Linked DNA regions of Lonchura striata. The protein of the gene in region 1 interacts with the protein of each later gene in a pairwise test. Links are inferred from orthologs where the notes say so. Each region holds a gene or a part of one and is shown on either strand. Other genes may lie near its edges.

Region 1 (7,236 bases):
AGGAACAGGAAAGTTGACATCTTAAAACTCGGTCAACTTGCACGACCAGTTGGTTATTTTTATGATAACGCTAATCACAGGTTAGTTGAATCATCCAGACACTGCCACAACTGGAACGCAATATGACAGACAATAAATGTGCAGGCTAAAATTATTCTTAGTCTCTGAAATGAGCTGAATGATATGCAGATAAAAAAGACAATTACTGTATTTCTCTGTTAAAAGCTGGGATCATAGAAAGAGAGCTGTAAGCATACCATCGACGGAAAGTGAAGGTTAAATTTAAAAATAGCCTAGTTATATGAATATTGTTTCCTTTTAAAAAAATAAAGCACCATTATAAATGAGCATACAAACATTTAAATGCAAAGTGCATATAAACTAGTAGTAACACAGCTTGTAAAGTTAATCCTTATATGGATATCTCGTGAAATAAATAAAATAAGACTTTAAAATGCTACAGGTTCAACCTGTTTCTAAAGGGATTGAAATCAATATACCTATCTCTTGAGACAGCTTTCCTCTCCCAATAAGTAATCCTCCAGCAACAAAGAGAGAAGATCAAGCCTGACATTTTTGATTTTTCTAAACTAAAGGAGCCAAGATGAAGATGTGGTAGTTTTGTTATGCAAGACATAAAACAGTAAAAGAGAAATAGAATGCTGCATACTGCAAAATTAATGTTTCAAAAATTTAATTTTCCTCTAATCATAGGGGACTATCTCAGTAATTCCAAATTTTCTCTGAGTAGTTCCTATTGATATGAAAAAATATCCTATTGATATGCAAAAATAAAATTAGGAAAATATGGAAATGAAAAAAGATCACCATGAATCTTAACTTGAAGAACAGAAAGCACTTAGTGCTGTCACAAGCATCTTGGAGTCCCCAGGCAGTACACTGGTGCTGGGGGCATCCATAGTCTGGGAGAGCAGAACCATGCACACAGGGCTATATTGGATGTACAGCGAGTCCATTGTGCACAAACTTTGCATGAGCCATAGCCACTTTTCCATGAAAATGTGGGGAACTGTACATATATATACATTACATATATACATATATAACTTGTACATATATACAGGTTGCACGATAGACAGTACTTCCCACATTACATGGGAAATGCCTCAGTGTTTAGGATGTTTGGTTATCTTAGCATTGGCTAATGAATATTGTTAGCCTTTCCATATTGAGAGCTTGGGCTGAGGCCTTACAACCACTGACCCTACCAACTTTCCTCCTGCAATAACCTTACATAGTTTGAACTTCAACTATACCTCCTTCTCCCACTTACAGAAGTCTTTCAAAACAATATGCCAATCATGATAAACAATGCATATATACTCAGAATTGTATCTCCCACTCTACTAGTTGTGTTCAACACCAACGGGCAAAAGCATAAACCAATGTGCAGCCAGTTTGTAAAAGCTGCTATTGAAAGAGTTGTTCAGTATGAGACTAAAATGATGATAGGATCAATGAAAGAACTATCTCTTGAAATCATATATACTACAAACATTTTTAATTCAAAAAATGAGCTATGTTCAATGGACTACAGTTGTACATATAGTGTATGGATTTTTCCAAGGGCAAAAGACTAATGAGAACTTAATTCAGGGCTATGTTATCAACACACAAATATATACAAATATATTTCAGGGACTTCCATGTCTGACTCCCTAAATGGAAATATATTAGGGAGTCAGACATGGAAGTCCCTGAAATCACACAAAGAGGCCACATTCTAAATTTTTGTCTAAACATTATCTTTTTAAACAAATCAAAAATAAAACAACAAACAAGCCCAACTTCCCCCAAAAAACTAAACCAAAGCCCAAAACACCTATTCAAAGTCTATGGTCCTGTTCTACACTAAAACCCTGTAGAATCTTCTGTAAAATAGTAAATTATAATAAAGTATAAAACAGTATAGGAGACATAAAATGATACTCCCAGCAAGTTAATTATGTAAGGTACTGATTTTTATGTAGATTTTGATCCTGGCAAGACTCACTACTACTCTGTTTTACCAGACAAAAAACCCTTTCTATATCTGTCTTTCAGCAAAGAGAAAATTAACACAGTATTATGGTGAATATGAAACAGTTTTGAGATAAGTGAAAAATGCCTGCTTAAGGACAAGGGAAAGGAATAGGGTATACCAAAGAAAAGAGATACAGTAATTCATATTAATTTATTTTTTGCAGTAACAGACTCTGACATTTGTAATCCAAATGAGCACATGAAAATGAACCTAGGTACAAACCAGACAAAATCATTGCCCTTTACCATGGCTGTTACTGGATGTTCACTACCTATAACATAAAAGCATACTCACAGGAACACAAAAGATTTTGACACTTAATAAAGGTCATGCTTTCTACTCCATTCAGAGCAAAATCTGAATATTGGAAGCTTAGCTTCTTTCTGTGAGTTGTCTGAAAAGACATGAAGGATTTAACCAGGAGTTTTTATGTACTACCTTTATTATTTTTGGCTATAGTAGTCGTAGTTGCTCAGCACACTACAAACCTAACTTTCATCTAAGAGGCAAAAAAGACTTATCATCCTTTCTTTATTGGTGACAGTCAAGGGCACAGAAAAGCCATGGCCTACCTCCTCAGAAGGAATTTAAGACATATCAGTGGAACTCAGATGTCTAAATTATTCTGTAAATGAAGGACCAAAATCACACTACTAAGTCATTAAAAAGAAACCAGGCCTAATGCAAAATGGTCCTTTTCATAAAGGTATTGAAAACCTCAGCTGAAAAATTTGATTGTATAATACATTTTAAAGTTTTCATCTGAAAAAAAAATTGATGAACAGATGCAAATGGTACAACGTTTTCGCAGAAAAATGAATTTTTTGAGTCAAACTAGATGGGAAGAGTAAACACATTAAAAGGACTATATCCATCTGTATATAGTTGACAGATTTTAATTTTTTTTTTTTTTTTTTTTTTTTGTTGCTTGTATTTTCTTTATAGTGTATATAATAGTCAAAATGCTGTGTATACTAATGGAGGAATGAACAGCATTTGCAGATAACGCCCCTACCAGAAGTCAACATTTGTTGAGATGAATGTCTGTGTTGTATGTTGTCCTGCACTGCACTGTTAAAAGGGGGCCCGATAAAATGTTCCTGTAAACCTTAATGTCTTGAAAGCCTCTAGTTCCCGAATAAACAACAGTCAAAATCTAATCTAATGTTCTCTGAAAATCTATGCTCTTCGATAACATGCCTTATTTTCTATACCTCAGGTTAGAAGTTATGGTTACTGTTTCCCTAGTTCAGAATTCAGAACAGAAGCAGCATCTGTGGGTGCTCATGTTTGCTTCTGCAATAAAATGTTCATTAGACAGGACTGACCTTTGCTTTTTAATCTACTTTTAAAACACTGTAGCAGAATCTGTGAAAAGAAGCAGTTCCTTTCACTGTCCCCATTATGTAACCTGTTTCTGGGCCTGCAAGTTCTCCTGGTCCCGTGTGAGGAGGCACCAGTGTCTCCAGGGGGAGGGGGGAAGAGGACGAGGAGCAGGTCTGGGAGAGACGTGTAAGGAATAACATTTTTCTCTGCCGAGCATAATGGGGAAAAAAATAGTTGAGAACCGCTGTTACGGGCCCGGGTGAGCAGATTCTCAAGTTACGTGAGAGCCCTCTAGTTCTTTTTGCTCGGGGGCTTCACCAGCAGACATAGCAGCTGCTCCTTGAGCCAGCTGTTTCCTCAGCGACACCTCAGACGTTCCTCCCGCTGCCGCCGGCCCGGTCCAGCCCTCCCAGGCTGCTCCTTCCGCCGTTCGCGGCCCGGCGCCTCAGGGCTCGCCCGCTGCCGGTGCAGGGCCGGGCGGGAGCCATGACGACACAACGGTCCCAGCTGCGCCCCGGGGCCCGCCCGCGGCGGGGCTCTGCATGAGGGGTGCCGCCTCACGCTCTCGCCACGGGCCCGCCCGGCCCGCGACGGGGCGAGCGGCTCGGGCAGGCATCTCCCGGGACGGGCGGGTGGGCGGCCGGTGGGCGAACCCCTCCGCCTCCACAGGTGGGCAGCGCACCCTTCCTTCGTGGTCAGCGGGGAGGAGGCGGCCCAAAGCCCACCCGCCGCAGCCGCCCCACCGGCAGCCTCCAGCCACGGCCCCCCCAGCCCCCCCACCGCCCAGGTGCCGCTCCGGCCGCACTCCCGCGGCCCCTCCTGAGGAGCGGCGGCAGCCCTTTCGCGCATGCTCGGCGCGGGCGCCATTTTGGTAGGGCCGGGAGTTCTCCAGCGGAGCGGCGGTGGAGCTCGCTGGGCCCGGCGCGGAGGGGGCGAGGGGTGCCCGCTGCGGAGATGGCCAACATCGCGGTGCAGAGGATCAAGCGGGAGTTCAAGGAGGTGCTGAAGAGCGAAGAGGTCAGAGCCTCTCCCCCCTCCCCCTGCGCGCCGCCGCCACCACCACCACCACCCTCCCCCGTGTGAGCGTGGGCAGCAGTGGACGGTGCAGGCGCCCCGCCGGCCTTCGCGGGGACCCCGCACCCCCCTCGGCCCCACCTCCCCGTGCCGGAGGTGGGCCCGTCCCACGGCATCTGGGAGGGGAATGGCGATTCCTGGGGAGACGGGGGCCGCCAGCCGCTGTGAGGAGGAGGAGGGGGCCGCAGGAAGCGCGGCGGCAGGGCCCGAAGAGGCTGGGCGGGCCGGCACCCGGCGAGGGCTGCCGGCGGTCGGTGCTCGGGAGCGCCGCCAGGCCGGAGGCCACGGGGCGGTGCGGGTGGGGCCGGCCCGGCCCCGCGGGGACCCCCGGGGACCCCCGGCACGCGCCCTCCCGCGTCCGGCCGCGCGGCTCCGGGAGGGATGCGTGAAGCGGACTGCGGAGGGCGAGGTGGGGTGCGTGATCCCACACATCCCCTTCGGCTGACCCCTTTGGCTCGCCAGTGCCAGAGGCTGCAGGGTACGGGTTTAATGTTTGGGGTTTTTTAGCGGTTGCTATTAAACCCCCATTTAGCTTCCCTGTATACAGAACTTCCTTTATCCCACTGCAGGCTTACTCACCTTTAGATGGATGCTTTTAAAGCCTCACTCATTTCAGTCATGTTACCTCGTTTCCTGATCAGTATGTTCAGAGGTATGTGGTAGTCAGTAAGAGAGGCTGACTACTTTCAGGGCAGCAGTAAAGAAGTTCTGATCAGTTTGGGTGAATATATAGCAGTATTTGCAGGGTTGCATCAATACAGCTTTTGCTGTGTCTGTGTCTGAGTTGGTGGACGTCAGCCAGATAGGTTTTAATAGTTGTGTCGTCATTGTCGTCCTACTTGGGATGATGTTGCAGGTTAGATCTTTGTGAAATATTAATGTGAATATGTAAATCTTAAAGGTGGTGTTCCAGAAATCTGGACGTATTCACAGAGAAAAAATTGAGAGAATAGTTTTTGAAAGGTGTTAATGGCTTAAGGAAAGCACGTTTAGGGTAGCAGTAGTTAATGTACTTTTAAATTGTGTGCTAACAACATTGTTGCTATACATCTTGAGCTAGCCCCTAGAAAAATGTAAGGGCCTTGTTTTACAGCTGCCTTTAGAGCCCAGGCTGATTTTGCCAAGCCATTGCACAGCAAATACAGAACTGCATGGAGACCAAGAGAAATTTCTAGGTGGATACCTTTATACCAATGTTAGAGAATGTAGACCTCATACCCCGTATAACCAGCTGATACTGTGGAAACAAAAAAAGTCTATTTGGAAATTTGGAAATGCTTTCTAAATGCTTCAAAACCATTTCCCTTTGCTTTATGTAGAAAACAAAAAAAGAAAAAAAAAACCTTAATTTAAGTAGGTTTTAGGGGAGGTGAATGGTAAATTTTCTTACTGTAAAGGTTGGATCCAGTGTGCACATTTTTGTTTATTTCTGTTTGTTTAGTCTGCAGGATTTCAGTACAGAATTTTGGAAATGGATATTATTATAAGATAGCCTTTGAGCTGCCTGAAGCTAGCCAGAAAAAGGTCATAATTCTTATAAAATTCAATTAATGGAATTTCAAAATCATAGTACAGCAGACTCTTGACATTTATTTTTCTTCTGCCATTGGCAAACTACATAAGTGTCATGATATATTAGTATGTATAAAATTGCTGTTTACAGACAATACTAACTCCCATGTCTTTAATGCAAAATTTCAGCATTACTCAGTGGTTATCAAAGTTGCAGGCAAAGTTTTTTTTTGTGAATGTTTATACATTCCAGGGCAGTCAAACTATGATGTCCTTATCATTGGGTGTGAAAACATGTGGAGTGGGATGATGAAAAAAGATCCAACTAAATACTACAAATGACAAACAAACAAAAAAAAGTTTTCTTACTAAAATTATTATTAAACCTGGTTTCTTCAAAAAGAAATATTTTTAATGAATGGCAATGCTAAGTTTGTTTTTTGGAGGTTAATAAGTCCCTCTCTGAAAGCAAAGTGGCTCACATTATCTGTTCTTAAATTATTCCTTATTTAATGCTTCGAACTACTTGAAGGGCACCCCCCCACACACACACCCCACCTTTTCCTTGTAGATATAACAGGAGCATAAATGCCTTGGAAGGGGGTAGGCACACAGGGAGAAAAGCACATAGGAAGTTTGTTCTCTGTCTTTTTCCACTACTCACTTTTATGCTGAAATGGATGATGGAACTAGAAATGTTTTTAAAAGGGAGCAGCTGGATCAGTTAATTCCTTCTGCATTTGAAGTACGTGTTGGACGTGCTAAATCCAAATGAAGAAAGAATTCTGTAAAGTGTGTTTATCCTTGCTATGGATAAGGATCTATGAATCCTTGCTACACAGGACTAAATATACTTTTCATATTACTTAGTACTTCCTTTTTCCTTGAATGTAATTTCTGGGAAATAACTAAAATATGAAATATGCTCTCTGGTTTACAGGAAAGAGATGAAGGATCTTCCATAGTTCTAAGTTGAATCTGGGACTTATAGTGTTTTTCAAAAGTATTTAAAGTCTTTTCACTCTTGAGGAAGAGAAAAGTGCTTTTGTACTGCTTGCTGTATTATTTGTAGTCTTGTTATATACATGACATTACGTTAAGAAGTATGGTATTGTTTATTTAAGAGATATCTGTAACTTTACATCTCTTAAATAGTTGAATTAAATAGATAAAACTAACTAAAGTTAGTTTTAGGGGTTGTTAGGAGTGCTCTCTAAAGTATGATCTTTTGTGTGTGGAGAAAGCTTCTGCAGTTCTAAGGTAGGCGAAGTATTGTGCAT
Region 2 (7,471 bases), on another chromosome or scaffold:
GTGCACAGGAAGTACGACCTGAAGGTATCGGGGCGCCCCCGAGCCCCTCTGATCCTCTTCTGGGGCGGCCTCCCCCCAAAACCCCTCCGGTCACCTCTGCTCCCTCCTCGCAGGGCTCCCTGGTGGACCGAGAGGCCAGTGACAAGGAGAAGGTACTGCGGGAGGACGCCGTGACCCCCGGATTTGGGGAGGGGGCTCTGGGCTCCCTCTTCCCTCCTCCCCGCTGAGGACAGCTCACTGGCTGCCCCCCAAGGGCCGGATTCCCTCCGCAGGGGCTGCGACCCCCAGGGACGCAGCCTGGGGGGGGTCCCGCGGCTCTGGGGGGTCCCCTCCAGCTCGGGGGTGTCCCCCCGCTGTCCCTCCCCAGGGCAAGGAGCTGCCCACGCTGAAGGACGTGGATTTCCTCAACAAGAACGAGAAGGTGTTCGTGGAGGAGGAGCAGCAGCGCGAGTTCATGGACAAGCTCAAGAGGGACGTGGAGGTGGGGACGGGGGGGCTGCAGCCCCAGGGGTCTGAGGGGATTGGGGGGGGCTGTCTCTGCACCCCAAGTGAGCCTTGGTTGGCCTCCCAGTGCCCCGGCTCTGAGGGTTTTTGGGGTGAGGCTCCCCTGTGCCCCGGCTCTGAGGGTTTTTGGGGTGAGGCTCCCCTGTGCCGGGCTCTGAGGGTTTTTGGGGGAGGCTCCCCTGTGCCCCAGCTCTGCGGGTTTTTGGGGGAGGCTCCCCTGTTCCCAGGCTCTGAGGGTTTTTGGGGTGAGGCTCCCCTGTGCCGGGCTCTGAGGGTTTTTGGGGGAGGCTCCCCTGTGCCCCAGCTCTGCGGGTTTTTGGGGTGAGGCTCCCCTGTTCCCCAGGCTCTGGGGGTTTTTGGGGTGAGGCTCCCCTGTTCCCCGGGCTCTGGGGGTTTTTGGGGTGAGGCTCCCCTGTGCCTCAGCTCTGAGGGTTTTTTTGGGTGAGGCTCCCCTGTGCCCCGGCTCTGAGGGTTTTTGGGGTGAGGCTCCCCTGTGCCCCGGCTCTGAGGGTTTTTGGGGTGAGGCTCCCCTGTGCCCCAGCTCTGCGGGTTTTTGGGGTGAGGCTCCCCTGTTCCCCAGGCTCTGCGGGTTTTTGGGGTGGGGCTCCCCTGTTCCCAGGCTCTGAGGGTTTTTGGGGTGAGGCTCCCCTGTTCCCCAGGCTCTGGGGGTTTTTGGGGTGAGGCTCCCCTGTTCCCAGGCTCTGGGGGTTTTTGGGGTGAGGCTCCCCTGTGCCCGGGCTCTGGGGGTTTTTGGGGTGAGGCTCCCCTGTGCCCCAGCTCTGCGGGTTTTTGGGGTGAGGCTCCCCTGTTCCCAGGCTCTTAGGGTTTTTGGGGGCTCTCCCTGCAGCCATGAGTGTCCCCCACCCCTAATGACCCCCTGGTTGTCCCCCCAGCCCTGAGATTCCAGGGGGTTTTTGGGGACCGTGTCCAGTACTTGACAGCTGTGGGGGTCCCTTTCTCAGCCTCCAGGCCCTGGGGGCTTTGGGGTGAAGCCCCCCGGGGGTTTTGGGGTGGCCTCCCCCATGGCTGCCGTGTCCCCTCAGTTCCTGGTGCAGCAGAAGCTGATGGACTACAGCCTGCTCCTGGGCATCCACGAGGTGGGCCGGGGCGAGCAGGAGGAGGAGGAGGAGCTGGAGGAAGAGGAGCCCGGGGGCGGGGGCGATGACGGGGGGCTGGGGGGCCCCTACGGCACCTCCCCGGAGGGTCTCGGGGGGCTCCTCAACTCCTACCGGCCCCTGGGGCCCGGCGAGTTCGACCCCGGCGTGGACGTGTACGCCCTGCGCGGGGCCGAGGGTGAGCCGGGGGCTCGGGGGGTGCCGGGGGGTTTTGGGGTGCCGGGAGCGCTGAGCCCCCCGGCCGTGCCCCCAGGAGCCCCCCGGCGCGAGGTTTATTTCATGGGGCTCATCGACGTCCTCACCCAGTACGACGCCCGCAAGAAGGCGGCGCACGCGGCCAAGACCGTCAAACACGGGGTGAGGGGGCACCCCGAAATGGGGGAGGGCACCCTGAGCTGGGGAGGGCACCCCTAAATGGGGAGGGCACCCTGAACTGGGGGGAGGGCACCCTGAGCTGGGGAGGGCACCCTGAAATGGGGGACGGCACCCTGAACTGGGGGGGAGGCACCCCGAAATGGGGAGGGCACCCTGAGCTGGGGAGGGCACCCCGAAATGGGGAGGGCACCCTGAACTGGGGGGAGGGCACCCTGAAGTGGGGGAGGGCACCCTGAGCTGGGGAGGGCACCCTGAACTGGGGGGGAGGCACCCCGAAATGGGGAGGGATATTCTGAACTGGGGGGGACATTCTGAACTGGGGGAGGGCACCCCGAAGTGCGGGGGGAATTCTAAACTGGGGAGAGGGCACACTGAACAGGGGGGCAGCACTTCCAGACTGGGGTGCAGGCATCTCCAAGCTGGGGAGCGGGCACCCCAAAATGGGAGGGAGGGCACTTCCCAACTAGGGGCAGGGCACCCTGAACTGGGGGGTGGCATTTCCCACCTGGGGGGGGCAGGGCTGGCTCCCCCTTGGTTTTTTGGGGAGGTGGGGAGAGGGAAGGGCTGGGGGGACACGGGTCAAGCCTTCAGGGGAGGCTTTGGGCGGGGTAAAGCCCCGGCAGGGTCTGGGCTGTGGGGAGCTTGGGGCGGGGGTGTTGTGGGGGTGCCAGGAGGGGCCGGGGGTTGTTACGGGGTTTGGGGAGGGGTGTTGTGGGGGTGCCAGGAGGGGCCGGGGGTCATTCCCGTTTTGGGGAGGGGTGCTGTGGGGGTGCCGGGAGGGGCCGGGGGTCGTTCCCAGGGTTTGGGGAGGGGTGTTGTGGGGGTGCCAGGAGGGGCCGGGGGTCGTTACGGGGTTTGGGGAGGGGTGTTGTGGGGGTGCCAGGAGGGGCTGGGGGTCGTTACAGTTTTGGGGAGGGGTGCTGTGGGGGTGCCGGGAGGGGCCGGGGGTCGTTCCCAGGGTTTGGGGAGGGGTGCTGTGGGGGTGCCGGGAGGGGCAGTTTTGGGGAGGGGTGCTGTGGGGGTGCCGGGAGGGGCAGTTTTGGGGAGGGGTGCTGTGGGGGTGCCGGGAGGGGCCGGGGGTCGTTCCCGGGTGGGCTCTGAGCGCTGCCCCCCAGGCCGGGGCCGAGATCTCCACGGTGCACCCCGAGCAGTACGCCAAGCGCTTCCTCGACTTCATCACCAACATCTTCGCCTGAGGGGGCCCAGGGGCCCCTCCCGCGGGACCAAAACCCCAAAACCCCACGGCACGCCCTGCCCCCCCCCAGTGGGGCTTCACTGCTCAAGTGCCTTAACTCTGTGTGCGGGGGTCCCGGGGGGCTCTGGGGTGCCCCCCCCGCACAAGGGGCTCTGGGACCCCTCCCAAAGCTGGGGGGGGGGTCAAACACTACTTGCCCCATGGGGGGGTGAAAGGGACCCCCCGGTCATGGCTGCCCGGGTGGGGTGCAGCCCCCACCCCTCTTCCCAGGGAGGCTGGGGGACGCTCCCTGCCCCCCTCCGCGTGGGACCTGGGGGGCTCCACAGCTCCCCCCCTTTTTGCAGCTCCCGGGGGGCAGGGGAGGGGAGGACCCCGGCCTGGTGGGACCCCCGGGGGGGGCGGGACGGGACCCCCGCCCCCCATTTGTGGGAGTGTCGCGTGTCGTGTCCCCCCCCAACCCCGTTTGTGGGGCTCCTTCCCGTGCTCTGTACCGAGAAATAAATTATTGAACCGGCCCCGCGTCTGCCCGGTTCCCTGTGCCCCTCGGAGCCCCCTGCGCCCCCAACCCCGGCTCCCCCTTTCCTCTCTCCCTGCGCCCCCCAACCCCGGCTCCCCCTTTCCTTTCTCCCTGCGCCCCCCAACCCCTGCTCCCCCTTTCCTCTCTCCCTGCGCCCCCCAACCCCTGCTCCCCCTTTCCTTTCTCCCTGCGCCCCCCAACCCCGGCTCCCCCTTTCCCGGGGACCCCCAGTTCCCGGCTGCAGGCCACGCCCCCGCCGCTCTGGCCACGCCCCCAGACGCGTCGCCCCGCCCCCGTTGCCATGGTGATGCTCCGCCCCCGTTGCAATGGCGGCCCCGCCCCCGTTGCCATGGCGACGCTCCCCCGTTGCAATGGCGGCTCCGCCCCCGTTGCCATGACGACGCCCCGCCTCGGTTGCCATGGCGGTCCCTCTCCGCCCCGTTGCCATGGCGGCCCCGCCCCCGTTGCCATGGTAACGCTCCGCCCCCCGTTGCCATGGCGGCCCCGCCCCGCGCGGTCACGTGAGCCGCCGGACGCGCCCGCCATGCTGCGCCCGCCCGGGCCCGGTGGGTGCGGGACCGGGACCGGGACCCGGGACAGCGGCACCCCGGCTCCCCCCGGCTCCCCCCGGCTCCCCCCGGCCTCCCCGCCGCGCCCCCGCCCCGGCTCGGCCCCGCCATTCGCCCTGCCCGCGCCCCCGCCCCGGGCCTGCCTGCACCGCAGCGACCCCCGGGCCCCTCCCCGGGCCTGCCCGATCCCCTCGGGCCTTACCGGGACCCCCGAACCCCCCCGGGCCCTATCGGGACTCACCGGCTCCCCCTCGGGTCTCATCCGGACCTTCCCCGGGCCTGCCCCGGCCTCCGCGGGACCCCCGGGCCCGACCTGTCACCGCCGGGCCCGCCCGTCCGCCCCGGGACCCCCGGGCCTGCCGTGCCCCCCCCGGGACCCCCGGGCCTGCCCCGGGACCCCCGGGCCTGCCGTGCCCCCCCCGGGACCCCCGGGCCTGCCGTGCCCCCCCCGGGCCTCATCGGGACCCCCCAGCTCCCCCAGGCCTGTCCCCCCCATTCCGGGCCCATCCCCCCCCGCGTCCCCCGTGGAGCCCTCGGGGGGATGGGGGTCACCGGGGGTCACCGGGGGTCACCGGGGGGCACCGGGGGGACCGGGGGGCACCGGGGGCCGCGGCGCGTTCATCCCCCCCGGTCCGCGGGCCCCACCTCGCAGCGAGGGGAAAACGGGTCTGGGGGGGCCGGGGACCCCCGGAGCCGCTGCCCCCCCGAAGGGCTGGTGGGGGCTGGGGGTGCCGCGGGGTCCCCTGGGTGCTGCCGGGTCCCCTGGGTGCCGTGGGGTCCCCTGGGTGTCACGGGGGTCCCCTGGGTGCCGCGGGGTCCCCTGGGTGTCACGGGGGTCTCCTGGGTTCCGCGGGGTCCCCTGGGTGCTGTGGGGTCCTCTGGGTGCTGTGGGGTCCCCTGGGGACACGGGGGGTGGTGGTGCTGTTGTTTTTGTAGGGTGCCGTGCGGGGGGGGTCCAGAGGGGTTGAGGAGCCCCCCCAATTGGGTCTGGGGGTGGAGGGGCCCATCTGAGACCCCCCGTGTCCCCCCGTGTCCCCCCAGCCCCGGGCTCGTGGCTCTGCTGATCGCCTCGGCTCCTGTCCCCCATGGGCTCACCAGGTGGGTGTGGGGACCCCCCGCTCTGGGGACCCCCGGCCTGTGACCCCCTCCCCCCCGTGCCCTGGGGACCCCCTCCCCCCGGGCTGTGGGACCCCCTTGGAGCACCTTCACCCGTGGGACCCCCCCCCGGGTTCAGGGGTGCTGGGGACCCCCAGCCCTGGCCCCACCCTTGGGGGTGACGGTGTGGTGACACCCCCGGGGTGTCCCAGATTCGGGGCACGGGGACAGGTTTGACCCTTGAGGTGGCACCTTGGGGGGGTGAGCGTCCCCAGGGGGGCAGGGGGCTCTGGGACCCCTCAGGAGCCCCCCTGGGTGCCATGCCCGGGCTCAGGCAGCCTGGCAGGGTTTTGGGGGGGTTCACCTTCAGATTTCGCTGGGTTTTGGGGTGACCCGCAGTCCCCAGGCTCTGGGGTCTTGAAGTGCCCAGTGCCAGAGGATTTTGGGGGTCCATGCCCAAACTCAGGTTTGGGGGTGCATGCCCTGGCTCAGAGGGGTTTTGGGGGGCCCGTGCCCAGTCTCAGAGGGGTTTGGGGGGATCCATCCTCAGTGTCAGAAGTTTTGGGGGTCCGTGCTCAATCTCTGGGACTTTTTTGGGGTCGATATCCAGTCTCAGAGGGGTTTGGGAGGGTCCATGCCCAGTGTCAGAAGTTTTGGGGTCCTATGCTCAGACTCTGGGAGTTTTTTGGGGTCCATATCCGGTCTCACAGGATTCTGGGGCTCTGTACCCAGGCTCTGAAGGTCCCATGCCCAGATTTTGGGGTTCAAAGTGCCCCATGGCCAGCCCTTGATGGTTTTGGGGTGTCCCCCCTGGGTTTGTCCTGTCAAGAATGTTGGGGTGTGTGGGGGCCACCAGGTGATGGTGCCAGTGGGGTCCAGTCCCTGGGGGTTTTGGGGTCCCATGCCCAGTCCCTGGGGGTTTTGGGGGTCCCGTGCCCAGTCCCTGGGGGTTTTGGGGGTCCCATGCCCAGTCCCTGGCGGTTTTGGGGTCCAATCCCCAATCCCTGGCAGTTTTTGGGTCCCATGCCCAGTCCCCGGCAGTTTTGGGGTCCCGTGCCCAGTCCCTGGCACTTTTGGGGTCCCATGCCCAGTCCCCGGCAGTTTTGGGGTCCCGTGCCCAGTCCCCGGCAGTTTTGGGGGTCCTGTGCCCAGTCTCTGGCACTTTTGGGGTCCCATGCCCAGTCCCCGGCAGTTTTGGGGTCCCGTGCCCAGTCCCTGGCAGTTTTGGGGGTCCTGTGCCCAGTCCCTGGCACTTTTGGGGTCCCATGCCCAGTCCCCGGCAGTTTTGGGGGTCCTGTGCCCAGTCCCTGGCAGTTTTGGGGTCCCGTGCCCAGTCCCTGGCAGTTTTGGGGTCCCCCAGGGCCGTTCATGCTGTCAGGGATGTCGGGGTGCAGTGGGGCCGCCAGGTGATGGTGCAGGTGGGGCCCAGGCTCAGGAGGTTTTGGGGGTCCATCTCCATCCCCTGACGATTTGGGGTGTCCCCGGGTGTTTAGGGGGTCTGTGCCCAGTCTCTGGGGTTCAAGGTGCCCAGCCTGGCACTTTTGGGGTGTCCCCGCGGTGTCGAGGGTGTCGGGGTGTGGGGGCCCCACCAGGAGTTGGGTGACGGTGCCAGCAGGGTCTGGTCCCTGGGGATGTGCCCAGCCCCGGTGTTTTGGGGTGTCCGTGGCTGTTTTGGGGTGCCCATGGTTGTTTTGGGGTGTCCGTGGCTGTTTTGGGGTGTCCGTGGCTGTTTTGGGGTGCCCATGGGTGTTTTGGGGTGCCCATGGGTGTATTGGGGTGTCCGTGGCTGTTTTGGGGTGTCCATGCGTGTTTTGGGGTGTCCGTGGCTGTTTTGGGGTGCCCATGGGTGTTTTGGGGTTGGTGCCCATGGGTGTTTTGGGGTGCCCATGGGTGTTTTGGGGTGCCCATGGGTGTTTTGGGGTTGGTGCCCATGGGTGTTTTGGGGTGCCCATGGGTGTTTTGGGGTGCCCATTGGTGTTTTGGGGTGCCCGTGGCTGTTTTGGGGTGCCCATGGGTGTTTTGGGGTTGGTGCCCATTGGTTTTTTGGGGTGCCCGTGGCTGTTTTGGGGTGTCCATGCATGTTTTGGGGTGCCCATGGGTG
Region 3 (7,627 bases), on another chromosome or scaffold:
AAGTTTCAGCCATTTCCCTCTAATACACTTAAGAGCTCCCATTTGAAGCACACATATAAAAATCCCCTGGTACAATTTTAGTGTTGTTCAGACTCAGATAATAAATCATTACTGGTTTATTTCAAAAGAAATTAATAGAAATTTCTGCACAAATTTAAGGCTAGTGACACAGCTAAGGAACTTGCCTGCCTGACAGGAGTTTAAGCAAAAGGTTGCCAGCATCTTTAACATTATGTCTCTGGACTAGATCCAACAGGCCTCTCACATTATACTTTTTCTAGAAAGTGTTGCATGCGGATCAATAGTCTCCTTGAAAATTCTCTCACCCTAATACAGATGCCTACCAGATTACCAAATATTTTTCATTTATCTAAATCACAACTTTTTTACTGTTGTGTTAGGCAATCTCTTCTTCTACAAAGAGAACCTATAGCAAAAACAGGCTCCTGCCAGAGGATGGTAACATAGTGCATTAGATCAATCTGAATCACTAAGGCACAGGCCAACTGCTAAGGGCAGACAAATCTGTCATCTTGCAAAACATCTGGTGGCAAAACACCTCACTATCCCTTCAGGTATGACGGGTTTTCAAGAGTCTAGGACAGAGTAAACCTGTCCATTCTCTCCTATAGAAAGATGGGGGTGGTACCAAGCAGAATCAAAAAAAAAAAAAAACTTTAGAATTTCAAAGGCTGCAGAAAAGCTACATAAACAGTCATACAATACATTGGAAGGTCAGGGACAGCAGTCATACAATACACTGGGACACCAGACTTCTCCACTTCTGCTATGACATCTCTCACTGTCAAGGGGGAAGGCTGAAAACAAAGGGCATAGAGAGTCACTAGCATGAAAATAAACTGCTCAAATGTGTGTTGGTGGCAGGAATGCATAGGAGTGGATTTAGAGGTACAATGGGAATTAGAAGGAATGGAAGACCAGGTCACATGTCATGTCACGGCCACAAAGGTCTCAATCACAGGAGAATTCTTCTTGTGCACATTACACTGAAGCATTACATAAGACACAGCAACATTACCATGTAGCTCTTCTCTTTCATGTAAAACATATTATGACAGACAGCACTTAGACCTCAGAAGAGACATTAAGGAACACTTAAACACACACTACATAATTGAAATATTAACAAGATTTACATATGCAGACTGAAACAGCAGGATACTGTGTTAAAATCTCCTACACTGCAAGCTGACTTAAGTATTTGTTCCACTGGGATTCAGGTAAGAAACCGGAAGAAATTGACTAGCAATGCTTTCCTTGCTAAACAGACGTGTACGATTTTGACATTTGTAGCTTGCAGTACAATCAGACTACAAATGAATGAGTAATGTCGACATTCCTAAAAGTATTTAAAAAACCCCACAGGAATGCATTTCCACTGTATCCCTGCATTGGTTTCTCTGTAACTCAGCGACGAAGAGCGTCACGGGGAAGGTGTCTGAGCAGGGCAGCTACGTTTTCAGTCCCGTATCCAGGCGCTGGAGGCGGATCCCCGCCGCGGACTCCCCCGAGCGCGGTTCCAGCCCTTGGGGCCGGCTGTGCTGCTGCCGTTGAAGGGGCCCGCCCGCCGCTCTTATCGCCCGAGGGGCTGCAGGCGTGCGTGGCGCAGATACACCGCGGAGCCAGGGAGCGCCCCTTCACCCCCGTGCCCCACCGGCGGGCCGAGCACCGTTACAGAATTTGCCCCGGGACCCCCGGGCTTTGGTCGCCTCCGGGCCCGCCCGCGCCGCCCGGCGGGGGAGGAGCCGCCGGTGAGCCGGTGCGTTCCCCGCCGCCCGAGCAGCGCGGAGCGGGGGAGGCGCGGCCGCCGGCGCCTCAAGTTGGCGGAGCGCCGGCGGGGGACGGGCAGACCCTTCCCGCCCACGAGGAACGCGCACACTCACCCGCCGAGCCTCCGGCGACGACTTGGTGAGAGGCCTCCTGCAGAAAGCCCCGGGGCTGCCGAGCCATCCTCACCCGCGCCGCGGCGGCGACGAGAGGGAGCAGGCGCCGGGAGAGCGGCCGCGAGCCGGGCCGAGTGCGCGCTGGGCGGCTGGGGAAGAGCCTGAGGGGCCGCGGTTATCTGCGGGCGGGAGGGGGAGCCGGGGGCGGGGGCGCCGGGCTGCGGCCCCGCGGCGGCCTTTGGCAGCCGGCCCCGGGCAGAGGGCGGCCCCGGGCGCTGCGCGGGCTCGCAGCTACGGGCCACCGCTTCCAGCCGGAAAGCGGCAGCCTCTCTCTCTCTCTCGGGGCACAGCCGGGACGGCCGGCGCTGCGACCGTCCAGGCTGGGGCGGGGAGCGAGGCTGTGGCACTGTCAGCTGCCGTCCCCTGCTCAGGCTGGGGCCGTACACTCCCGCTTCGGGGCTGGTGCTATACAGCGCGCATCCTGCTCCCCATCGCTGCTGGGACCCAGCTAACACCCCAAATCCTCTGCTCCTCAGCTTCTAGGAAGGGTCGCTGGTGCCGCTGGGATCACAGGCTGTCTTTTTGAAGACTGCTGTCCTTCTAAAACCTTTAGTCTAAAGGACGCGGGTATTTTGTCGCTTGGAGAGTAACTATTACATGTATTACAGGGACCTGTGGACCCATCTTAGTAAAAAAAACGGTGACAGGGCATGGGCTGGAAGTGGTGGGACATAGCGCCATTGCCGACAGCCTCCAGCAGTGCTTTCGGCAAGGCCAATTTCTGCTTTTCCAGAAGATGCCCGAGTACAACGTGGGGGACAGCATGGGCTCATCCCAGAGGTAGCACCATTTAAGGGCAAGACAGTTAATAGGGCTGTTCTGATACATTAGTTTGCTGGGTGCCTGTTTGTGATAGTTTAGCCACAAATGTTGCTAACTGACTAGAGGTTCCAGCTTTGAAAGGAAATGTAGCTTTTTGTAACGTAGAACAAAGATTAGAAGAAAACAACGGGTTTATTGCTACTGAAAAGGACGGGAACGTAGGAAATGTACAGAGAAGTGTTAATAAAATGCTGAAAGACTGAGACCCTAATTGTAAAAAGGAATAATAGTCAGGTATAGCATTCAGTTATATCACTTGAATGCATCAGCAAATAAACAATAACATGGAGTTTTGATCTATATAGGAGCTGAGTGTGGATTGCTGTGAGAATACAGAATAACTCCCTTAAATTAATAAAACTTGAATGTGCCGACCTTTAAGTAATTAAAATCTCAACTTCAAAGTTTCATTAGCATTTGCCTTAGTTCCCTTGGTTTGGCTCCTTGATAATGCTGCTCAATAAATACTTCTGGATGATCAAGTCTCCAGTGTTCCCTATCATCAAGAAGCAGATGCTGAAGCATTACCACTTTTTTGTTCCAGAGATGTAACTCTCCTTGTGCAATGCTCTCTTGGGTACAAATAGCAATTCTAGTATTAAGGTGGACTTTGCTACAGTATTTCGACAGCAGAGAGAATTTGGAGTTCATCAGAGTGCAGAAACTGGTCAGATAGATTTGTTTTCTGCATGTGTGTTTTCTGCATCAAAGAGAACAGCAGTCAGAATGCATGTAAGTTACATGGATGTTCACACAGTAGCATAACACCTGCTCCTTTAAAGAAAACAAACAACCTCTGCTATTGTTAGAAAACCATTAAGGTCGTTTCACGGTATTCAAACTCCAAATCTATGCCCCCTAATTCAATTCCCCAACTGAAAGTCTCTTTGGCATATCTCCCTTATTTTCCATCCACCCCTCCCTCCTCCCCCACAAAGGGCAACCTCCCCACTATGCAGGTTTCCTAAAGCACTTCTAGGCTCAGTCCTATTTCCATATGGCCTCATCCGAAACCAGTACATGAGCGCCACTCCATTCTTGTCCTCGATATCCCTGGCAAGGTCTGTCTCTCCATTTGTCCTTACTGCGTCCCTTGGTAGGGAATTCCGTCCATCCCGGGCAGCACCCCTGCGCTAACACCCGAGAAGGAAACCGCAGCTGCCCGAGCGGGGGCAGGACGAGGAGAAGAGACCCAAGAGCAGCGCCGCGCCCGCCGGCCCCGCCGCGCCGCCTCTCCCTCCCGCAGGGCGGCGCCCCCGCGCCCCGGCCCCGCCCCCGGCCGCGGCCCCGCCGCTGCGCGCTCCCGAGGGCGGCGGGCGCGCGCGCCCCGGCCCCGCCCGCCCGCGGCTTTGTTGCGGAGGCGGCGGCGGGGCCGGAGCGCGCAGGTAACGGGGCGGCGGGGCCGGGTCGGGGCCGCCCCGCGGCGCTCGGGCTGGGACTCGCCCCATCCTCTGCCACGGGCTCGGCGGCGCGTCCCGGCGAGACGGCGTTAGGTCGGGCCGCTCTGCCCCCAGCGCCTCCCCGCGGGCGAGCGGCCCTGTCCGGCCTCCTCCGGCCCCGGGAGCGAGCCGCCGGGCCCTTGCGCCGCTGACCGGCTGCATGTGCCGTGGCAGCCCCTTGGCTAGGTTAATGTTACCTCCCGCGGCCGCCGGGCGACCCGGCTGGCCCGACTTTCCGCCCGCTCCGCAGCTGAAGACAGGGGGAAGCAAGTTTGCCGTGCGGGGATGCGGGGCTTGGAGTCCCAGAGGCGGCGGCTTTGCGGGAAGGGAGGGGGCGGACTGGCTGCCGCCTCTGGGAGGGGGACAGCGCTGAGAAACGGACCGGGACAGTCCGAGATGAAACCTGCCCCGAGCAAATTCAGGAGGTCGGTTCTGGATCTTTAGTGTCAGATGAGAACAAAGTGTGCAAGATGCTCTTCATTGTACTAATGCTTTATAAAAAAAAAAAAAAAAAAAGAGGAAAAAACTGCACCAAAAGACCTTGCCAAAATAAAGTTTGTGCTTTTTTTGAATATTTATAACTTAAAGCTTCTTAGGAAATCCCAATGAACTGTATACCTCAGCTCCTCTTGTAATTCCTGCTAATCAGAATTCTTGATGATGATGTGAGGATCTGTTTCTTCTGAGGAAAAAGGCTATGGTTTCTCAGTGTGAAGAATTTGGGAGAAAAATATTCAATAAATGTACCCAAAGGACTGTTCTACCTGAGACAGCACACCTTCTGATGTTTGATGTTTGTCCGTGGAAAAACTACAGCTGGGTCTAAGTACAACTTCAGGGGCTTGAGGTGATTGGAGCTGGGTTGCTGTAAGAGTTTATTTGGGAATTCAGAGTGTAGTATTAGGACAAAAGCACTGTAGTTGCTTTTGAATATTCTAGAAAGTTCTAACTCCACTTAGAACAGTCTTAAATTGCAGTGTTTTAGCAGTGGAAGAAAAATCAGTTAACCACAGCAATGTGCTTTCTGGCTCAGAAGATCTCGGAGGTTCTAGGATCTGTGGATTTTAGGGAAGTGCAATGATGCTCTTGCCTTGTTCTTGTACCTGTCCTTGAGCATCTGTACTTGGCCAGTTCTGCTTTGGGAATGTACAACTCTGGTTTAACTCGAAACCACTTGTTTTAGATTTTGTTTATTTAAATATGTTATGGGGACTAGCTTATAAATCTCATAAGGTTTAACGAGAGTTAAAACTGTCATGCCAGTTAAACATGCTGCTTATGTGGTAGTTCTGTTTTATTTTGGTGTTTAGTACCCAGAATGTTGTAATTCGTGACAAGGTTCTTCAGCTGTGTGAGATAGAGCTATGTACACCAGTGAGGTGCCATCAATTTGATGGCTGTGAGCTCTTCTGTTCTGTCACTGGTAAAGGGATTAGCACTGCTTTCAGGATTTTGAAAGTGATAAACTTGTCTTGCCTGTCCAGCTAAGTTACTGCACTTCTGGTTGCAGTATGAAAAGTGAAGAGATGGACTGGGACATGAAATACATATGGGATTTAAGAAGACAGGAGCAGTTGCTGCTACTTTCTCTAGGTATTTTAGGTTTTCTTGCAATGGTACTGCAAGTTCCTTACAGTTTGCAATGGTGACTACTGCCCAATAGTAGTGGGTAACAAATTAAATTTCAAAAATCTCTTCCCTAGTTTTCACATGATAAATAATTATATTTCTTGCCTTTTTGATTGTTTGCTTGCTTTGTTTCTGGATTTACTTAATTTCTCTTTTAGTCATTAGTTTACCTGTTTGGGATAAGGAAATGTTACTTTTCTTCACATCCTGTTAATCTATCTCCCTGCTTGTTAGAAGTCATTCTAGATGCTGCTAAATTAGAAATGCATTATAATGGTATTAAACTTTTTCCCTGACCAGTAAGAAGCAAAACAATGTTTTATTTCATGCTTAGTATTTCTCTTGTAGCAAGACAAATCCAACACATTGTATTACTGGCAGAAATAGTATGATGCTGATGCCACATGACCCACGTTTGCTTTTTGAAGTTTGTGGGGGTTTTAGTTTCGGAGAGCACCTAGGTTAGTAAAAAAGTAAGGGAGTTTTCAGATCTTGCTAGAAGCGGTTAGGGGAGAAGGGAAAATACATGTTCAATAGTTCTCTAGGGAAATAATCAACAAATTATTCATTAGAATTTAAAGCAAGAAGATACACATGATCCGAGGATGAAGGGAAAGAGCATCCTGCCTATACATCACAGATTTGTGTAAATTTAGTTGCGAACCTGAGAGATATCCTAATGGATCTTTATGCTACCTACTTTTTAGTCTGCCAAACATAGGGCAGAACAGATGCTGTGTGTTCATAGCAGTGAAATGCCATAGTGCACTTTTAAGCTATGAATTAGTGATCTGATGCTTACTTTAGTGCAGATCACCAAAATAAATGCAGAAGCTTCTTGTCACTTTTACTCTGTTACCCTATGTGGGCAATTGATGTTTTGAAACTTACCTTTGAAACAAACAAGCAACCCTTCTGGGCTGACGACTATTGACAGATTTAACTACAAGCTAATGTTGCAACTGACAGGTATTCCTGTATGACTGCTGCCTTTTTCCTTTTCCTTTGAAAGAAAGATGGTTTTGAAGAAGTAAGAAAACTGGAGTATTGAACCTTTTTTTGCAGAACAGCTACAGCTATGGAAAGAAACAGTGTGACTGCTCAGTTGTTAAGATGATTCTCTGCTGCTTTCAGCCACCAGTTTTTTAAGTGACAGGATGCTTGGCATGCTCCCCGCTAGTTTTGCGAGGAAGCTCCCCGCTTGCTTCTTAACAGCAGGCTACTGCTTTTCATGATGATTCTTGATGTGAACCTTTGTCCTTTAGGGACAGGTTAAAATGCAAACTGACAGTTTCTGTGGAGTGGTGGCCTTTGGTATAGTAAAGAATATTATATATTAGAATTTTGAAAATAGTTTATACGTATATTGGCTTTATGTGGCAAGGTTCTTTAGCAGGGGATCTACAGAGGATCTTCTGTGAGAAGCTGCTAGAAGCTTCCCTCATGTCTGACAGAGCCAATGCCAGCCAGCTTCAAGATAGATCCACTGCTGGCCAAGGCCAGCCCTGTGAGCAGCAGTGGCAGCACCTCTGGGATAACAGAGTGAAGAAAGGGGTAAGGACTGGGAATTCACTTGCGGCTGGAGAGGGGAGTTAGAATGCGTGAGAGAAAAAACTCTGCATACCCCAAGGTCAGTGACGAAGGACAGGGAGGAGGTGCTCCAGCCACCACAGAAGAGATTCCCCTGCAGCCTGTTGTGCACGCCATGGTGAGGCAGCTGTGCCCCTGCAGCCCAGAGAAGATGCCACACTGGAGCAGGTGTCTGTGCCCAAA
Region 4 (8,260 bases), on another chromosome or scaffold:
CGCTGATGTCCAAGCATGGGGACAAACACAGAAGGAGAAATCCGACTGAAATCCTTGTCCTGAGCTGCTCAGAGTGTGCAGGCTGACACTGAACAGAGAAGAGTAAAACACAAAAGCAGAGTGAAGGTCCTGGCAAATATACTGGCTGGCCATCAAGGAAAGAAAAACTGTGAGGTAAATACTGGCATAAACAGGAAGGTGCAAGACACTATGCAGAAAAAAGGTGAAGACAAGGGAGTGTAGAAGGATTGTAAAGTGCCAAGGCATGGGCGCACTCCAGGTCAGAAACTGACATGTCTGAGGCAGATCTAATTGTGGTTTTATTATAATTAAGTGTTGTGGGAATTAACAAGGCTTTCTAAAACTGTCTGGAATGAGTGAGTATCACACAAAACCCAGAGTTTTTTCAGGGTGAAAACAAGTACCAAGACACCAGAATTTTTAACACACAGGAATCCCCATTTTGAGGGTTTACCCAGAAGAGCTTGGCTAAGTTGTGTTAGGCTTCAGGAATAAACAACTTCTCCCCTTCTCCCTCGCTCCTCTTCCCTCAATGCCCTGAAAAAAAACCACAACAACTTTGACTGCCATCAGGACAGAGAGAATTTTATATTAAACTATTGCCCTGGGCCACTCAGCTGAATTAAGTCAAAGGGACTGCTGGCAGGCTTAAAATAGGCATGTGTTTAAGAGCTTTCCTGGCTTTGTTGCTGCAGTGGAGGAAAAAAAAAAAAAAAGCTGCAGATGCATAAATTTGAAATTGAAAATATCAATATCTCCAAGACACAAAGTATAATTAGAATTAGTAATTAATTCTGATCTACATTGCCTTGCACTAAGCTTAAATGAGAGCAAAGTGAGAGAGATACCAGAGACTCTTTTTTCCCTTCCTGTTGCTTTGTATTGCTCTGAAAACAGGTCCAGTAATCACAAGCAAGGGACAGATGAGATTCTTTGCTGTGTGGAGGGGTGCACCGTAGCAAAGACAGTAAAAAATACCTATATCACAGCACCAAGGGGCTGACACAGCGAGGATGACACAGGAGCAGTGCAAGAATCCCTAGATAAGCGTTCTTATTACCACTTTGGTGGTTTTCAGCAATTTGATTTTGTGACAAGCCTTCCTGCACTGTGTCACAAATAATTTCCCTCCCTTTCAGACTGTGGGTCTAAGCAGCAGCAGCAACATTTCTTCCTGCCAGCTTCCATAAGGAGAGCAGGACACCCTCCTGGCAGCAGAAATCTGCCGTGACCACTTTTGTGACGCTCTCAGGTACTTTTCCTTGGTCTATAATCTGTTTTATTTTAATGGAAGGATGCCCACAATGGCTCTTCTGGGCCTGCTCCAACTAGCTGGAGTCATCTTTAGGGTAATATTTTCATCTGATCAATGGTGGTGTGAGGATGAATCCATTCAGAAACAGCTCCCCCTTAAAATTTCTATCAAGAGACCCTACAGGAATGCAAAGAACACACTAGACAGATGTGTTTCCAAATGTTTTCAAAGGTAGGTGAAGTTTCTGCTACTACAGAAACCAAACACATCTCTTTGCATCTGCTGCAGAGAACAAGAAAATATACAAATTCAAAGAGAAAGTGGCTCTGCCAACACAAGAGCCACAACAACCACAGCTACCCTGATGTGTTTTAATAGGCATTATTTGCAAAACCATATTTTGATAGATCAAAATAGCTCCCAGCCTAATTACAGCCATTTAAAATGGAAGATATTACTCACTCTTTCAGAGCTCAAGCCTGGGAGCCACCAGGCAGTGTCTCAAACGTGCTTGAAGCCCTGCTGTGGATGGAGCCTGTCCATGGGGGCAAGTGGAGACCTCACAGAAGTCGTGGGCTTGATGTAGAATTTATTTGTGAATCCTGTGTGGCCTGTGATAAGCAAGAGATCAGAGAAGGCATTAGAAAAAGTCCCTTCTGACTGGGAAATCTGACTGGGAAATCTGGAAATCTGTGTCTTCCCAGGTGAGTCTGATACCTCACTCACAAGCACCCCACACCTGGAAGTTTCTGAGCAGACACTGCACACCCCAAGATGCCACCACAATAATAATTACTGCAGAAAGGCTGCAATTTGCCTCATCAGCCTCACAAACAGCAGCAGACTAAGCCATTGGCAATGAATTAAAAGATCAATGACATGTTAAACCCCAAGGAACACACGTGCAATTAGCAAATGTATTTAAAGCAGCCACAAACACACAAGTTTCTGTCTGACAGCACTCTGCACCTCATCCCACTCCCTTTACAAGCCAAGGGGGCTGTGGGAGGGTTACCTACCGAGTTCCACTTGGCAAAGCACATTTCCAACACCCTGCTCTGGTCCAAAGCCCACGGACATGAGTCACCATCAGTGAGAGTTTTCCTACTTATTCCAATGGACCTTGGCTGGCCTGTAAACATCCTTGCCAAAACAGTCAATCTCTAATAGGCAAACACGCTCTGCTTTCACTGGTTTGAAGACTTGGGAATGGTTGGATTGCCCTGTGCAGTCCAAAGTTGAGACACTACTTGGTAAACATGCTGCATGCACCATCAGCAGCCCCAGAGGGGGCAACACAGGGTTAAATGCAAGTTTAAACAATTGATTTGCTTTGAAAGTTAAACTCCTCTGACACGGGCAGGTACATTACTGAGTAGTTTCACAACTCCTCATATCTGCAAAGAGCCCTGTGATAACCCGGCAATTAAAAGGAAAAAGAATTTAAAGAAAATAAAAGGAAAAAAAAAAAAAAAAAAAAAAGATTTGGAATTTCTAGGCTAAATCCCAGAAATGGCTACAGTTTGTCACAGCCTCTGGAATGGAAGGAAACTGTATTTCTTTCCTCCCCGGCTCCGAAGTCCCGAAGGTAATTCTGCCTGAGAGCCGCCAGCCCGATCGCTTCACGCTGGGCATTATTACTCCTCAAATGGTTTTGCTTCGTTTTTTTATTCTAATGAAAGAGTAAAAACCAAACCTCAGCCGAACTACTGGAAAACGTTGATGACGATGACAATAACACAAGCAATAAGAGGAATAACAAGAAGAAAGAAGCAGCAATTTACCTCCAGCCCAGAAACGCGACAGCCACGCATTTTAATTCCCGGGGAGCGACAGGGAACTCACCTCCTCCACCCGGACCCTCAGCTGTCCTTCCAAAAATACGGATGAAGCTGCCAAACCCACGGGAGAGAGCCAGGAGCTGCAGCCTCCGGCTCGGCTGTCGCTACAGGACCTCGCTCCATCAACCCCTCCTCCTCTTCCTCCTCCTCCTCCTCCTCCTCCTCCCCCGGCGGTACCCGCGGAGCAGCAGCGACACAAAGGAGCGCCCGGGGAGCGACAGCTCCTTGCCAGCCTGGAATCAAGGAATTTCATCCTTTTCTTGTGACACGGGAGTTAAAAACCTCAGCAGAGCCACAGCGCGAGAGGGAAGGAGCTTTCCCAGAGCTGCTGCGGGGCTGAGGTCGGTGAAGGCGCCGGAGTTGCTGAGACTCAGTTGAAGCTGCATCAAAAACGACAGCCCCAAGTTCCAAAAGACAAACCCCTAGGCTGATATTTTATCTTGCCCAGCCACAGTTCTCCATTTCACTGCCTCTGTCACGCTTGCTTTGTTCGGAAGTAAAGTACTGTTGCAGGGCTGAGATGGTGTTTCCTAAAATTGTTGTGTTCCCTGAATACAGCTGCCCTGTTAAAGCAGCAAGATGTACTAAAATTTTACTAGAAGGCAAATCGCAGGGGCAGGGAGGAGCTGCCCTTGGTTTGCTTTCCTTCCAATGAAGCACAAGAAAAATGCCCACCTATATTTGCACCTGCATGTTCACCCCCAGCAGCACAGCTGCACTTCCAGGTGGGCATGGAAACAGCACACAGGTGATACCTGTGTGTATTAAAATAAAAAGAGAGAGCCTGGCAGGCCCAAGTCACTCAGCACACCTTAGCAGGAGGCAGGTAAGGTAAATTAAGCAGGAATTTATGTGTTCCATGCAGTGGGGACATCAATGAAGTTGCTTGGATCCCAGCCTTGCAAACAGATCTGCAGCTTCAGCTCCTGGCACCTTGGAGATCTTGTAGCAATGGATGTCTCACCTGCTGGAGAAGAAGCCTGAATTGGTGTGTGGTGTATAAATCAAACCTGTGTGTATCAATGTGGTTTGATTCACCATGCTTTTCTCCACTGAATGGAGAGATATGTGCCACCTTTTGGAAGCAGATGTCCAGGGAATGTTCAGGGAATGTCATAGTAAGGAAAACAATCCAACTGAAAACAAAACAAAAATCAAAATCTAAAACCAAAACAACAAAAAACCAGAACACTTAAAAATAAAAATAAAAATAAACCAGGGACCCAGGAAGGGGAGAAAGGAAGGGAAAGGATTGGACTGACTCATGATTACATGGCCCAAGTCTCATTTCTTTTTGTGGCAGGCTAAAACTACCTGCCCTGTAGCAAGACCCTGAATTTTGCACACCCTGACCTCATGTCTAGGTACATGCCAGTAATCCATGTCACAACATTGCTCTTTAGCCTTCTCCCCAGGAGAAGGGAGTGGATGTAGTTTTGTCTCATTTCACTGAGATTTGGGTATGACTGGGAGGGATTTAGTTTTTATCCTCGTGATCAGCCATATGTGCCCCAGAAGGCAGCACTGAGGGAAAATGAGGAAGGTCTGCCTTCAGTCCCTGTAGTTCATTTCATGGACAAGACAGCTGGGAGTATTCCTGCAGGAACTCATTTTACCCTTTGGATAACCTGGTCATATGTAATTTATCTCTGGAAGATCCAGACCAAGAATCAGAATTTGATCTGAAATGCTACAAGAGGTGAGGATAGAGGACAAAGAATGGTTTTGTTTCTCTTCCCATGTTTTTTTTGGTTTTGGTTTTTTTTTTTTTTTTTTTTTTTTTTTTTTTTTTGCCAAAGCAGCTCAAGCCATTATTCAGATGGAGGTCCCTAACTGGAAACTGTTCTGTTCTCACAGTTCCAGTCATAGTTTTCAAAAACTTAGGTTTGGGTCTATGAGGCAAAGCAGTTTCACAAGAATGGGATGGAGCCTTCTTGCCAGCAGGTCATGATGGAAAAGAAGAGAGATGTTATTGATAGACTATAAAGCAAAACTGCTTGGAAAGTGATATTGCCACTGAAATAAAACAAACGAACAAACACCCCCCCCCCCCCAAAAAAAAAAAAAAACACCACCAAAAAAAAGTGATCTTGTAAACACTTGCACATGGGGCTTTGTTTAGTTCCACGTGTAGTTAATCCAGATGGCTATGTGATTACAGCTGAATCTGAGATTATGTACCACAGGCCAGTTTGGACAGGAAGACACTGTGACTGGAGTGCTGTGCCTAAAAGAAATGAGACATTTTCTTCCATGTCTCGTGTACAATTTAAAGACACAAAGAAAGAGAGAAGCAGAACACAGAAGAAAGTAAGCCCAGTGGGTATCTGTTTTTTGTAGTTAGTGGAAGAAGATGGGACATTGTCTATGTGCTTTTTAATTGGCCAGAAATAGGAAGTAAATCCATTTTGTATTCATTCTCATTTTACTACAGAAATAGTGCATTACAAACTTTTGCACTCCTGCCAATATTCACTGTCAAAAAAGTAAATTGCCAGTTTTCATAAAGTTGCATATTGCTCCATAAATATATATTCAGCAGGCGCATATACCTTCTCATTTTAATATCTGTGTTATACTTCAACACATTTGATTAGAGAGATGCATGTGCTGGGAGTCTGATGCATTTCTTACATTCAAGAAGGGAAATAAACCCCTCAAATTTATATAGGATGCATCCTTTCTTGCATTTGGAAAATGAAGGTGAGGCTGTGTCACCAACACTCCATACTGACACATTCCCACCTCCTGTCCCTGTGTCCAAACTGATGAGAAGAAGGTTTCCACTCTCTTAAAAGTGCAGAACAGTAAAGCCACTGGAAGGTTTTCAGCAGCACAGCCCTAATGGAAAAGCACAATCTCACTCACAAAAGCAACAAAATGGACAAAAATTAAGGAAATCCTGTTATCATTCACTTTACAAAATAAGTGGGGGAAAAAGTATGTGGCAGTGGCTACAGAGGAAAATATCCAGTCTGACAGAAAAAGGAACAAGGGATTAATCAGCTCTAAAATTATTAAGAAGTTTGGTTTTAGCTTCCTTTTTCTCCTTGCCAAAACAGACCTTACTAAAATAAAACAAAGGCAAAAACCTCCCTGAGAGTTCTGCCAGTCTCTGCCAGTTATGTATTTTCGGAAATGGGGCAAGTCCACATGACCTCTGTTGTCCCTATCTTTGAGATAATGCTGTTACACTTTAGAAGAGCACTTGAGCTATGGTTGACAAGTGCTCTATGCAGTTCTCTTATCACAAAACCTCAGTAAGGAAAAAACCTGGGCCCTCTGAAACCATCTCAAATCATAGAAGAAAGGCAACTGGCACTTGCTGATAGAGAGATAATTCAGATCTTTTATTTAACAGTAACCCGTGGAACAGTTAGAACTTTGACTGTAGCTTTATGAACTGCAGAAAGCATAGAAATGTTTGTCTCTGTTCTTCTGCTAATGGTGATGAAAAACATTGTGGATCCATGATCTGGCTGATCTTACCTCAAGTTCTCTGCTAAAAAAATGGCACAGGTCTCCCTCCTGGGAATTCTTGGATAGTTTCAGAACCTGAGTGGAGTAAAGCTGCTAAGCTGGAAGTTTTAATTTCTGATTCCCTCCTCCCCAGAAATTTTTCATATTGGGGTATACATCAAAACTAGATTGCAAATTATTTGTCAAATGCTAAAGACACTGCAGGACAAGGCATGAAGGAGCAGTCCATTTTCACCACAGCAGATCAGCTGACTTATTAAACCATTCTCCAAAACTTAAGACTTGTCTTTCTTGAAGCCTGCTTTATTTCAGTTTGGTGTTCCAGCCAGGCATTGCATCTGAATTCTTCCCTCTGTGAAGGCACATCTGTCAAGTGAGCCTGCTTAAATTCCTAGTAAGGAGAAAAGAGTGAGTATCACCATGATAAGAACAATGAAAATGCAGCAGGTAGGGATTAGTTTCTGTGTTAAAGAATCTATTAAATACATCAAAAATACCAGCATCTTTCTCCAGTCTGTTACAGATTATTTAAGCTGAAATGGTTGTCTTTTCCTGAATCTGTCATTCTCTTCTTCCTGAAAATATGTTTAACTTGGGCATTCTGTCTCCTTCACAGGCCTGCATTGCCTATGTAACTAATGTAACTAATCTAACTGCAGCAATCCTTGAAAAAAATGGCATTTTTGTCTCATGATAAACGGATTTGCAGCTGTGTGGAAGACAGAACTGAAATGTGAAAAATAAACTGTTCAGCGTTAGGTGTTAGCAATAACTGTATCAAATTGTGATGATGACAATTCCACTGAGAGTGTGTGGTCTTTAATCAAGTGTCCTTCTAATTTAACAGTAAATGCTCTATTTTCTATTTTGAATTATCATTTAGGATAGGCTCCTAGACTTCTTCAAGGAATTCTACACATCTACAGTCTAATCTACGTCTACATGTGCTAATCATCTTTTAAACACTGATCCTGGCTGGATGCCACACACCCACAAAAGTCAAGTCCCTTCACCAGCTGGGCAGAGGAGGGAAAATACAATAAAAGGCTCGTGGGTTGAGATGAGAACACAGAGAGATCAGTCACTGATCACTGTCACAGGCAGCAGAGACTTAGGGAAATTAGTTTATTACCAATCAAATCACAGTAGGATAAAGACAAAGGAAACTAAACCTTTAACACTCCTTTATCCCACCCTTCCCTTCTTCCAAGGCTTAACTTCGCTCTCAATTTTCTCTTCCTCCTTCCCCTCAGGGAGATGGAGAATGGAGTTTGCAGTCATTTTATTAAACATTCTCTCCTTCTTCCTTCCTCATCATTGAGGATGTGGCCAGAGGATCCATCCTGGAGCTGCCTGGCTCAGCTGGACACAGGGGAAGCTTCCAGCAGCTTCTCAGAGAAACCACCCCCCACTACCCAAACCTGGCCATGCCAACCCCATACTAACAGAGTTTACTTTATCTGCTGTTATGGAGCAGCTTTTATTCTGTCAGTGAACACACCAGCCCACGAGAGCAGCAAATGAGCAGCACAGAAAAGGCAGCCCCTGGTGCAGCTGGGCTGGGTGGTTAACACAAAGCAGAACACAAGTCACTCCAGTTTTTCAGACTCATATGTCCTAAGAAATTTAAGGTCACATAACGAATATGGGGTTATTTTCAAAC

Evidence for each region. The genes of interacting proteins can lie anywhere in the genome.
Region 2: the proteins of UBE2K (region 1) and DTX3 interact in binary tests that used the Homo sapiens proteins (3 or more experiments, as listed by UniProt). The link is inferred for Lonchura striata from reciprocal best matches to the Homo sapiens genes UBE2K and DTX3.
Region 3: the proteins of UBE2K (region 1) and MIPOL1 interact in binary tests that used the Homo sapiens proteins (3 or more experiments, as listed by UniProt). The two-hybrid records come from large-scale screens. The link is inferred for Lonchura striata from reciprocal best matches to the Homo sapiens genes UBE2K and MIPOL1.
Region 4: the proteins of UBE2K (region 1) and MARCHF3 interact in binary tests that used the Homo sapiens proteins (3 or more experiments, as listed by UniProt). The link is inferred for Lonchura striata from reciprocal best matches to the Homo sapiens genes UBE2K and MARCHF3.

What each region holds. Positions count from the first base shown.
Region 1 is NC_134606.1:22,965,707-22,972,942, forward strand, and holds the start of UBE2K (ubiquitin-conjugating enzyme E2 K), read left to right. Parts: upstream 1-4,154; 5' UTR 4,155-4,324; coding exon 4,325-4,387; intron 4,388-7,236. UniProt on the Homo sapiens protein: Accepts ubiquitin from the E1 complex and catalyzes its covalent attachment to other proteins. In vitro, in the presence or in the absence of BRCA1-BARD1 E3 ubiquitin-protein ligase complex, catalyzes the synthesis of 'Lys-48'-linked polyubiquitin chains.
Region 2 is NC_134629.1:5,163,330-5,170,800, reverse strand, and holds the start of DTX3 (putative E3 ubiquitin-protein ligase DTX3), read left to right. Parts: upstream 1-4,226; 5' UTR 4,227-4,272; intron 4,273-5,305; exon of another isoform or gene 5,306-5,316; 5' UTR 5,317-5,360; coding exon 5,361-5,373; intron 5,374-7,471. Other genes in the region: PIP4K2C (phosphatidylinositol 5-phosphate 4-kinase type-2 gamma), read left to right, coding at 1-24, 114-152, 368-481, 1,548-1,797, 1,873-1,976, 3,110-3,190. UniProt on the Homo sapiens protein: Regulator of Notch signaling, a signaling pathway involved in cell-cell communications that regulates a broad spectrum of cell-fate determinations.
Region 3 is NC_134608.1:24,430,387-24,438,013, reverse strand, and holds the start of MIPOL1 (mirror-image polydactyly gene 1 protein), read left to right. Parts: upstream 1-4,382; 5' UTR 4,383-4,510; coding exon 4,511-4,650; intron 4,651-7,627. Other genes in the region: SLC25A21 (mitochondrial 2-oxodicarboxylate carrier), read right to left, coding at 1,905-1,971.
Region 4 is NC_134642.1:83,597,000-83,605,259, forward strand, and holds the start of MARCHF3 (E3 ubiquitin-protein ligase MARCHF3), read right to left. Parts: upstream 3,246-8,260; 5' UTR 3,122-3,245; intron 1,888-3,121; 5' UTR 1,739-1,887; intron 1-1,738. UniProt on the Homo sapiens protein: E3 ubiquitin-protein ligase which may be involved in endosomal trafficking. E3 ubiquitin ligases accept ubiquitin from an E2 ubiquitin-conjugating enzyme in the form of a thioester and then directly transfer the ubiquitin to targeted substrates.